Mytilus edulis: one gene and its partners. The protein of the gene in region 2 purifies or fractionates together with the protein of the main gene of each other region. This does not show direct contact. Links are inferred from orthologs where the notes say so. Each region holds a gene or a part of one and is shown on either strand. Other genes may lie near its edges.

The links.
Region 1: the proteins of intraflagellar transport protein 140 homolog (region 2) and intraflagellar transport protein 43 homolog A-like purify together in Homo sapiens (affinity purification with mass spectrometry; 3 studies listed by BioGRID and IntAct, counting the BioPlex papers as one, with this or other methods). This does not show direct contact. The link is inferred for Mytilus edulis from reciprocal best matches to the Homo sapiens genes IFT140 and IFT43.
Region 3: the proteins of intraflagellar transport protein 140 homolog (region 2) and WD repeat-containing protein 19-like purify together in Homo sapiens (co-immunoprecipitation; 3 studies listed by BioGRID and IntAct, with this or other methods). This does not show direct contact. The link is inferred for Mytilus edulis from reciprocal best matches to the Homo sapiens genes IFT140 and WDR19.

The regions. Positions count from the first base shown.
Region 1 is NC_092346.1:63,096,732-63,100,494, reverse strand, and holds the start of intraflagellar transport protein 43 homolog A-like, read left to right. Parts: upstream 1-1,361; 5' UTR 1,362-1,415; coding exon 1,416-1,517; intron 1,518-1,588; exon of another isoform or gene 1,589-1,693; coding exon of another isoform or gene 1,694-1,735; intron 1,736-2,929; coding exon 2,930-3,061; intron 3,062-3,763. UniProt on the Homo sapiens protein: As a component of IFT complex A (IFT-A), a complex required for retrograde ciliary transport and entry into cilia of G protein-coupled receptors (GPCRs), it is involved in ciliogenesis.
Region 2 is NC_092352.1:66,730,540-66,734,302, reverse strand, and holds the start of intraflagellar transport protein 140 homolog, read right to left. Parts: upstream 2,830-3,763; 5' UTR 2,736-2,829; intron 485-2,735; coding exon of another isoform or gene 263-484; intron 99-262; coding exon of another isoform or gene 1-98. Other genes in the region: uncharacterized protein, read left to right, coding at 1-98, 263-484. UniProt on the Homo sapiens protein: Component of the IFT complex A (IFT-A), a complex required for retrograde ciliary transport and entry into cilia of G protein-coupled receptors (GPCRs).
Region 3 is NC_092351.1:26,545,056-26,548,818, reverse strand, and holds the start of WD repeat-containing protein 19-like, read right to left. Parts: upstream 2,315-3,763; 5' UTR 2,204-2,314; coding exon 2,198-2,203; intron 1-2,197. UniProt on the Homo sapiens protein: As component of the IFT complex A (IFT-A), a complex required for retrograde ciliary transport and entry into cilia of G protein-coupled receptors (GPCRs), it is involved in cilia function and/or assembly.

The DNA of each region.
Region 1 (3,763 bases), on a different chromosome or scaffold from region 2:
AATAAATATAGATTGTTTTCATTCCTGTCTCAATATCAACCAAATACTCCAATATTTTTTCAATAATTTTGGCCATACGGTCATGCAGGATCTGAAATGGCACACTGATCGATGATGATGTCTAACACCGCTGCATGAGCATTTCCTGAAGTGGATTGAGATTATAAAAGAATTAAATGATTAATCACATGCAAAGTGATTTGCAGTTTTTAAGTATATATAGTCTTAACATTGTAAACTTCTGAAGATGAATGAAGAATAAGAATTGAAACAAAAAAAAATCAAAAAAAAAGAGTAGAATTGATACTTCAAATGAAGAACATTAATAATATATTACATGTGTGTTATATGGGATAAAAATGAGGATATAAGTAACTGAGACCAAACACTAACACATTTGTAAAATTGTCATTTTTAAACAATCTAAAATATGTTTAAACTGAAACTAACACAAAGTGAAAAGGCAAAATTTCGTCTTCCACAATTGAGAAATGTCTATTCCACTACGCGAATCTTAATGTTACCGTAATTTTAGAGAATTAATAGTTGAGGATCCTGGATTTAATCATATCTTTATTTTCATCTTAATTCATACTTTTATTCACATTTTTATTCACATTTTTGTATGGTTAAAGTATCTCTTATAATCTATCACAGGAGACATTTGAACAAATAATCGCCGAGTACTTAGTGAGATCAGAAGAGGCAAACGGTTCTAGATAAACTGGACAATTTGAATAACCAGCGATATCTTTATACATCATCAAATATTATCATGTGAGTAATACATCATATGTTACAGTGAGGTATGGATTTTTGTTGCCTGTTTGAAACTAATTTAGTGTGAGAACCAGGCGTAATTGACTTTGAGCACGGTAAACTTATCATGACGAAAAGCGGTCAATAGTATGAACAAACAACAGATTTTTCTGTAAAACAATATTTCCCCGTGATTTTTTATTTTATTTCTGATTCTTCCATAGTATGCTATCTGAGGCTTTTGTTACATTGACTCAGTTTGTTTCATTGACATTTGTCCCGAGTGAATATCTAGAAGTATCATTTGTAACCCATTTGTAATACTAGATAAACAAGTTCCTAGGGAAATTCCCATGTTCTACCCGATGATAAGCCCTTTCCAATATTTTGTCAATGAGTATTGTGGCTGTATTATGGCTGCAATAAATTAATATATATATAAGCACCTGATATATTGTTACTTTAAACTTTATCTACTAAGCACACTTATATTATTGATCACATGTGTTATCATACTTAAATAAGAACAAAACTATTCATGACATTTAAAACAAATGTACTAAACATGTGCACACTTTATATGAAACAATTAATATTAAGGAATGAAACAATGAGGAGATTAAATATGCTCCAGGACAACGATTGATAGCCTTATTATGGAAAGCGCAGCTAAAGTGTTAAACACAGGGATCGTTAATGTTCTTGCTTCAAATGTATCAAACAACACAGGTTTATTATTCCCACATTTTAAATTGAAGGTAAACTATAAATATCTATCATCTATGACACAGTAAGATATTTTCCGGAGACAAACCGTCATCGACTTGAAATTACTTTTCTCAACCTAAGTTTTCTCCCTTAGATAAACACATTCCATGACAGCAGTAATATTTGTAAATTGCTCAGTTGATCACTTAAATTACAACTGATAGAAATGGCAGATGATTTTGATTTTGGCGAATCAAAGAATGCTAAGGTAAATTTAGGTTATACCTGTCAAAAAAAACTGTTTCCTACACGTAAAAATTATAACCTAATCATGAATTTATAAAAATATCTTTGACATGTTTGATACATTTCTGTGAGGTTTTTTTTAGTTAGAATTTTGGCTTTAGGTAAAAGTAGAAGGAATTGAGAGTAGGGAGAGGGAAAAAAAGTAGGAAAGGGGGAAGGTTAGAAACCAAGATACTCCTTGCCCCCTTTTTATTACAATGTAGCTATAGAGGGTAACGAAAGGGTACCCAAATTGCACCGAGTACCCAAATTGCACCTATTTAGAAAAAATTGCAACGGAAATCTTACAAGATTTCCTAGAGACTAAACAATTTGTATTTTTATGATTCGATACTATGCACGTCTTTCAACATAGGTAAACATATTTAGATATACACAAAACGTTCACAGTCTTTATCAACAGATGGACTGTTTACTGAAAAAGCAAAATGTACGAAAACGTCACCATGCGACGTCATCAAAACGTCATCTTTTTAAAATTAGCAAATACAATATATTATAAGTATCCATTTCGTAAAATATGAGGAGTAAGCATGGACGAATATCCAATTGTTCAAAATATTTGAAGAAATTAAACAAAAGCTCGGTTATTAGACTTTTGACGATGTGAATTTAAGCATGGATGCAATTTGGGTACTCCTCATTACAGAATCATGGATAGTTTGGAGGTTGATTCAAACCCATTTTTTTATGACTCAATATGGATTAAAAATCAAAATGGTGTACCTATACAATAAAGAAGGATAAGGCTACAAAATAAACCCAGTATGGACATTTTTTTCTTGATCATAAAACAACGTAGGTGAAAAAACTGTCAAAATAGGTGCAATTTGGGTACCGTCACGTTAGAAATGCCAGGCGTCAAACAACCATTTGCAGCTACCGTTAGCATCAAATTGGTTAAAGTTTTACCTTGACTTGTCAAAATTTCCCTATCAAAATTTGTTAGAGGTTAAAAATAATAATCTTTTGTGTCAATTTTGGAAAAAATGAATGTGATACATTTGTAAGTCAAAATTAGTTGATTTTTATTTTGTCTACAAAAAAAGTGTACATTTTATCGTCATGCACCAAAGAACTTTTACCACTATTTATCATGAAGGTACCCCCATTACTACTGTCATGTATGTGTCTTATCATTTTATTTTGATTATAGGGTACTGCTAAAACAGGGAGAAGAGCCCAACAGAAAACAGCAAATCCACCAGATGCTCCTGATTTTGAAGCTAGCGTAGAAAACTCACCAAAGGCACCAAAGTCAAGACAGCCGGCTGGAAGACAAGAACCTGTAGGTTTTCTTTATAGTCAGACAACATTTTGACATTAAAAGAAAAAAATGTCACATTTTATACATGAATTACCCCAAAACAAAACATTAATGAATTTACATATATAAAATAAGGATTTATATAACTATCAGTCACATTGAAATGAAGATCCTGTGTTCATGTTTTACTACTAATATATGTATATGACAAAGCTCAGCTGACACTCATGTTACATATTTAAACATATTATATCGTGAATAACATTGGTAGATTTAATGATTATCAAAACAGAAGGTAAAATCAAGTACTAACAAATCATCAAAAGTCAAAAATTGACTCCAGATTTGTATTTGAATCAAATTACTATGTATGAAATATTGAAAATGATGTTGACATGTAACACCTTAATCTAAAAAAAGTGTGTGCCTGTCTGATATTGCCACTCCAGCTGTGCATAGTGTCCTATGGGCACATATTCTTGTTATAACATGCCATAATTATAAGCAACCTGAATTTAGTAAGAATATATAATTTGAATATCATCATTATTTTACAAGTCAAAGATACTTTCTACTCTCTTGAATGGTTTTATATACAAATTTAGGAAACAAGATACATTTGTAGATTTCTTTAAGTCATGTAAGTGTTTTAATATTTAGCACAAGTTCAGAAACAATTATTGTATATATATGCTACCAAAAAAGAATAATCTTATCCATTTT
Region 2 (3,763 bases):
CTGTTATTCAAGATGGTGACAACTTCAAACCCGGTATGAAAGAGCATGTCCACCCAGCAGAACCAGGGTCTGTGATAGCTGTCATGATAAAGAAAGAGGTATGTTTGTTATCTATACATATTAATGAAATTGATTCCATCAAGAACGCTCAATAAGATTTGTAAGCGGACAGCTGTATAACTTTTTTTCAAAAGACCGAAACAACAGCTAGATGCCTTTTTTGTATTGTTCTTTTGTAATTGATTATGTTTTATTGCCTTAGTTGTTATCGTCTCTCTCACGCATGAAATTAGAATATACACGTTTATATATCCGGGTGCTTAAGTTAGTGTCTGAAGGCAAGCTCCAAAGGTACCAGCGCAAACAGAGTAGACAGACCCAGGGCCGTCTTTTTGCTTTGTGGGACGAGTATTGCAACAACAGCATCTCCGCGTCTAGACTCCTTAAGGAGTGTGCCAGTGTTTACGGACCACCACCAAAGTGACTTTGAGTGTTAAGACTTATAGTGCTTGTCTATATGTTATGTTATGATTTCAGTATTTAACCTTTGTGTTCATACCTATAGTATGCTTTTGACCTAGTTTATCATGTTTATTACAACCATGAACCATGCTTTTAGTGCTTCATTTTGTGCTGTGTATTATGTGTTGTATTGTTAAAAATGTTTTGTTTGTCGGTTAAAAATATACTTTGCAGACTCTAAATACAGCTTATTTATTATTATTTATTATTATTTATTATTTATTACATTTATTACATGTATGCATAAACTGTTGAATATAATATATAATAGATATAATAAATAAATATTATTAATATTCTACATGTGTTTTATTGATTTTGGATACAATGGTAACAGAATTATGGATTACATTAAAACTAGTACATGCACATTCCAAGTACATGTGTGGTGAAATCTATAAAGTCAGAAAAAAGAATTCACACAAATAATACACCTATCAAAACGACTAAGCTGCAGTACAGTCCTGTGCACAAACAAATAACTAAAAGGAATATACCACTTAATAAGATACATATTCAAAGATTTGTCTGGGTGCCGAACAAATAACTAAAAGGAATAAACCACTTAATAAGATACATATTCAAAGAAACAATGTCCAATATTGACAATAATGTTATAAATAGTGCAGGAGACAAATAAATAACACTCAAACATAATTTTTGGTTCACTATATATAGATCAAAGATAAATAATTTATAAGGTGCCGATTTGTCTATGTGAGGTGCCGATTTGTCTAAGTGCCGATTTGTCTGGGTGCCGATTTGTCTTTCACGGGTGCCGATTTGTCTTTGGTAGGTGCCGATTTGTCCGGGTACCGATTTGTCTGGGTGCCGAACTGTCTAGAATTCGTGATGAAGGCCATACGGTATCACCATTTTCAAACACAAGTCCAAAGAAGCAGCAAAATTGATATATTTTGTATAAACTGAACACATATATCATCATTTTATAGCAAAAGTTTCATTGCACTATCAGGTCATGGAGACTAAAATGATAAATTAAATTTTAGTAAAATATTTTCTTCTGACGGTTGAACTCACCATCAGTCAGAGCTCAGACATAAATAAGTCTGAATCTGCTTTTGACTCATAGAGGTCTAAATTTTTTAGTTTTAGGATTTTTCTCCCTTTAATGCAAGACAAAATACGACCTTAATAAGTCAATATTGTTAAGCAAGAAATAATTGACCAGAATCAAAAAGTTGCAAATATCGACTCCTACAAGCATTGACAAGTCGATAAGTTATCAAAATTGGTTAACTTCAAGACCCACGCATATTTATAAAAAGGTCATGCATCGAAATCAAATAATGACAACATTAAAAGACAATGCTTTGTCTTCTAAAGAAAAATATGAATGAGAGTCTAAAAAATCGGAGATAATGTTAATTAACCATACAATGCAACCACCTGGAACCACACTTAATGCGGTAAAACATCTGTGTTTAGTAAGGATGTTCAATTAGATAATTAAATATAGATAGCTCAAGTCCTTGAGAACTCTCAGACGGGTTTTTGCTGTCACAGGTGGTGTACTTTGGCCACCAAGTAAAATTATAGTTAAGTTTTTTAATCACAATAAATAGACCTAAACAAGTCTGTCATTTTCTGACTAAGATAAGTCTAAAATTGAAAACACATTTTTATAATAAATACATGTTTCAACTTCTTTAAGTCAAAAACAAAAATCGACTTGTTTATGTCTGAGCTCTGCCTGAGTGCTCTGACTGATGATCATTGTTTTGTGACCATGGCCAAAAATGACGAGTCCCTGGACTTAAAAAAAATCCTAAGTGAGAACCCTAAGTACCTTGACCTATAATGGTTTACTTTTATTAATTGCTACTTGGATGGAGTGTTGTCTCATTGTTTTTTTTTACCACTCCAAAAATGGTAGAAAATGGAAAAAATAAACTTTTGTCATTCAAAATGTATCTTGTTCCACTTGTAAAGTACTAAAGATCGTTCTGTCTTTTGTACCATGCCCATTCTGTTGTTGAAAACATTTGTTATCAAAAGCCTACAAAAATTTAATCGAGAAAATTTTGCAAATGCTAACATGTAACGAAGAATTTCGTCCCCCCTTTTTTTTGCGACATGTTTACACAATATTTTGATCAGATTCGGCGGATTTAAAATTATAAAAACCAGTGAAAATGTAGACTCATATGTAGATCTTTAAAGTTTTTGAGGCTGATCGTATACAATCATACAAGAAAGATGTTGTTTCCCTGGATACTGTGATGCTATTTCATAGGAAATTCAACTATGTGCTCCATTTTGAAAAATATTTCAGCAATGCATTGTGGGACTTGTTAAAAAGCGTAAACAAATCTAAACAAACTTTTTTCTATTCAAATAAAACTATAAAAATTCGTAAATTATTTGAAATTTGATGTTTTTTTGTGTTATTAGCAATAATTTTCTTAAAATAACAAATAATGATAAAAAAATTCTTCTGTATCCCGAATTTTATACTGATACCGGATCACATAACAAGCATTAGCTTTCTGAAAAACCTTATCTAAGACGGTATATATATATATATTCAGTCCATTCGGTTATTCCTTCAACATAAACGTTCAATGATCGAAAAAGGTGAAATCAAAATATTTATAGCTTAAGTTCTTGAATATGTAACGAGCTGCATATATTTGACAAAAGGGATCTAAACGGTTACTCCAAATCTATCTAGATACAGCCGCCGGTCACATTTGCCGGGAAGTGTATCGTGAACCTTAGTTTTTGATACTTTCTAAATTCATCAACAGACAATTATTTTAAAGACAATTGCGTTATAAATCATGTCAGTACCGAAAAATCGAGTACTGTGATTTTGATACATTTGGGAACTATATATATAGCTGACTGTCAATAATTTGGATCTCAGTGATGGTAACTAAGAAAAAAGGGAGGAAAGAGGGGGGGGGGGGGTTCCTACACAGGGAATATTTGTATCTAATAAACTCTAAATTAGAAAGTTTAAATTTAATTAAAAGAGGAAAAAAAACAAATGTAAGGCATATTGTGAATGGTCTTTCTTCCTTTCTCCCGTGAGGAAATCTCGCATCATTTAAAAAAAAATGTCGAATTTTCAGTACACCCATGCTAATTTTTTTCATTTCTAATGGAAATTTCAGTTGTAATGGTTTAAATGAAAGCTTGTCGGATTTGTGATTCAGAACATTAATAATAAACACACCTTACATCTATTTTGATAAGATTAAACTGCATTTAAGAC
Region 3 (3,763 bases), on a different chromosome or scaffold from region 2:
TCTTGTCTTTTGTAGATAATCTGTTGGATCAATAGCCGGCACCAATCCCTCAACCACTTTGTAGAACATAGTCAGCCTCTGATGTTTCCTTCGCTCTTGGAGAGGTGGCAGTTTTAGCTTAGAAAGCATATTTGTGACGCATCCGGTGTCTCTGGATTTATAGTCGTGCAGAATGAATCGTGCTCCTCTTTTCTGTATGCTTTCTATTTTTTCTATTTCCCTGATGGTGAATGGGTCCCAGATGACAGCACCGTATTCTAGTACGGATCTAACCATGGCTAAGTAGGCAAGTTTTTTGCACTCTTGGGGGCACTGGCGTAAGTTTCTTCTCAGGAACCCCAGTGTACAGCTTGCCTTGCTTGTTGTTTTCCCTATGTGGCTGGTCCATTTTAGGTCATCAGATATGTTAAGACCTAGGTAAGGATTAGTTTGTACCTGTTCTAGTATGTGGTTGTCTAGTTGGTAGAAGTGTGTTGATTTTTGTTTGAAGCTCATTATATAGCATTTTTTTGCGTTGAATTTCATTCCCCAATTTAGTGCCCATACTTCCAGAGCTTTTAGATCTTCTTGGAGAGTTTGGTGGTCTTTTGTGTTTTTGATCTCTCGATAAAGTAGGCAGTCATCTGCAAATAAACGAACTTGAGATTTTACGCTTTCCGGGAGGTCGTTGATGTGGCATAGAAAAAGCAGCGGTCCTAGTACTGTGCCTTGTGGTACGCCAGAGTCTACGTGGGCATATTCTGAGTGCTCACCTTCTACGACAACCCGCATTGATCGTTTTTGCAGAAATGCTGCTAACCATTTGTTCAGATTTCCATCTATTCCGAAGCTGTTTAGTTTTGCCAGAAGTTTGTTATGTGGCACAGTATCAAAAGCCTTTGAAAAGTCGAGTATAGCCATATCAAGTTGAATGCCACTGTCGAAGCTCTTTAGTAGGTCTTCTGTTGTGACTAAGAGCTGTGTTGTACAAGAGTAACCTGATCTGAATCCATGATTTAAATTTGTCAGTATTTTGTGCTTTTCCAGATGTTTAAGGATGTGTTTACAGATGATGTGTTCCAAAAGCTTACATGATACACAGGTCAGTGAGACTGGTCTGTAATTTTCAGCTGCCTGGACGTCCCCCTTCTTAAATACTGGAGCTATGTTTGCACTTAACCAATCTTCAGGGAGAGTGCCTGTGTCAATTGATTTTTGAAAGATGGCGGATATACTTGGTGCGAGTTCTTCTGCACATGTTTTAAGGACAGTGTTTGGTATTCCGTCTGGTCCCATTGCTTTGGATGGATTTACGTTTTTCAATAATTTATGTACTCCTTCTGATGTTATGTCCAATTTTGAAATATTTGAAGTTGATCTTTTCTTTAGTGGTGGTATTTGTGAGTTCGGATCTAATTTAGTGAATACTGATTTGAATTGGTTGTTTAGAATTTCTGCCTTTTCTTTGCTGTCGTTTGTAAGGCCTCCATTTGACTTTAGTGGTGCTACTCCTATATTATCTTGTTTCTTTGCTTTCATGTAGTTCCAGAATGGTTTAGAACTATTCTTTTCAAAACCTGCATTGATGATGTCATTAATATAGTTCCATTCTGCTTTTCTAAATTGGCGTTTGCAGTCTTTTTGGAATTGTTTATATTCTTTGTAACTTCCAGTTTTTCTAGCATGTTTGTGCAACCTAGCTTTCCGTTTTAGCATTTTGCGCAGTTTTCTGTTTAACCATGGGACAGAGTGCTTTTTCTTTATCATTTTAGATGGTACGTTGGTGTCAATTGTTGCTTGTACACCGTTCTTGAAGGTTTGCCAGGTTTTATCTATTGGCATATCGTGTATATGATTATGGATGTCCTTTGTTATCATATTTATGTCTGTTTTAATCTGATCCCAGTTTGCTTTCCCATCAGATATCAGATTTTAAATAAAATTGACAAACCTTACACAAGAGCCATATATGTATTGTCAATGGTAAGGGGAGGGTTGGCATATTTAAACATTTTCATACCTTGATAAGAATTATGAAATCGGAAAATCATAAAATTTATCCAGACACAAAAATGAAAAAATTATACCAAAATGGCAAAAAAAGTCAAAATGCTCTTTTGTTTTGACCTCTTTCAGTGTCGACTTTTGGGTATATATAAATATTTTATTTTCATTGGTGCTTGACCATTAAAGTACATCAAACTGTTTAGATAGTTACCTTCATTGTGATAGCTTGTAGTTGATATTTTTCAAAGATTTGTATACATATTCACCACTGGATACAGACCGCTGTGGAATGCGGGTCGTTTTGTGCTTTCTTAGATTGGAGAATCCCATTACGGTAGATAACTCGTGATATTTGTATAACTTCCTCCATATAAGGTACACCTCCGAAATTTATAATCGTTGTCAAGCAGTAGAAAGCTCTATATAAGGATAGTGATCCGGCGGCGGCATCGTTAAATCTATCAAACAAGTTTATATTATAGAGGGTTGACGGTACCACGATTTCTCGAGGATTACAAGAACAATTATTATATCAGCAAAAAAATATTTATGTATTTAAGCTGTGATCATTCTTAATGCTCGGTTGGAAAATTTATTCAAGTCAATATGATGTTAGATGTATTAATTTCTCATATAAATATATTTATATATTATAGACCAAGGGTTTTATTATTTACAGTCTAATTGTATCGTGATTGTCATGGTATGTAAATTATATGATGTATCTATGCTAATCAATGTTCTTTTTCCTTATACTTGTATTCTCTAAATGCCCCTTGTGGGCTCTTAATTGGAAATAAAATATATCTTATCTATCTTATCTTATATCAAATGGCAAAATAGAAAGCTCAAACATATCAATCGAATTCAAAACAACTGTCATATTCCCGACTTCAGGGTACAGGCATTTTCTTATGTAGAAAATGGGGGATTGAACCTGGTTTTATAGCTAGCTTAACTTGACTCTCACTTGTATAACAGTCGCATCAAATTCCATTATATATATTGACATAGTTTCCTTCTGTCATATATCCTTCTCATACAGTCGACCCAACTTAAGTTAATCTCATACCCATAAATTTTCTACTGCACACAACCATTTCCCAGTTTCTCATGTTTTTTTTCTTCTAATTATATATGAAATCGGTCAACTATATTTGGTATGTTAAAACATTTTATTATGTATGTCAGTCTGGCAAAAATTAACAACTATAGGTCACCGTGCGGCCTTCAACAATGAACAAAGCCCATACCGCATAGTTAAGTTGGCAACACATTTTGTTATGTACCTAGTGTAAAAAGGTCATCAGTCTCTCCCATTTATAGATTGCCCATATCTTTCATAACAGTATACAGCTTCTGTAATTTATCGATGAAATGTTGTGTGTGTTCTGCCTGTTCGTGATGTCTGGTACTTTCATTGGCACTCGTGGCTTCAGATGCCGATTCATACTGAGAAACATTAACCAAGTGACACATCAATGGCACCACAATCACCTTTGATAACAACATGTGCTTGCTCATGTAATTGGCCATTATCCAACGCTGAAAATTCACAATTAGATTTGTGAAAAAATAAATTTTTCGTTATGGAATTCTGCAGCCAGCTGATGATGTGTAGGATCAAATAACTTCATGTCTCATCGTGCATTTTTTTAATTCAATTGTCAACATTAGATTCAGAATTGAAATTGTGGACTTTCAGTTTTGCGTCTTTCGAACCAGTCTACGATACTTAGCACATCCTGAGTTTGTTCACTGACCTCTGACATTAAAC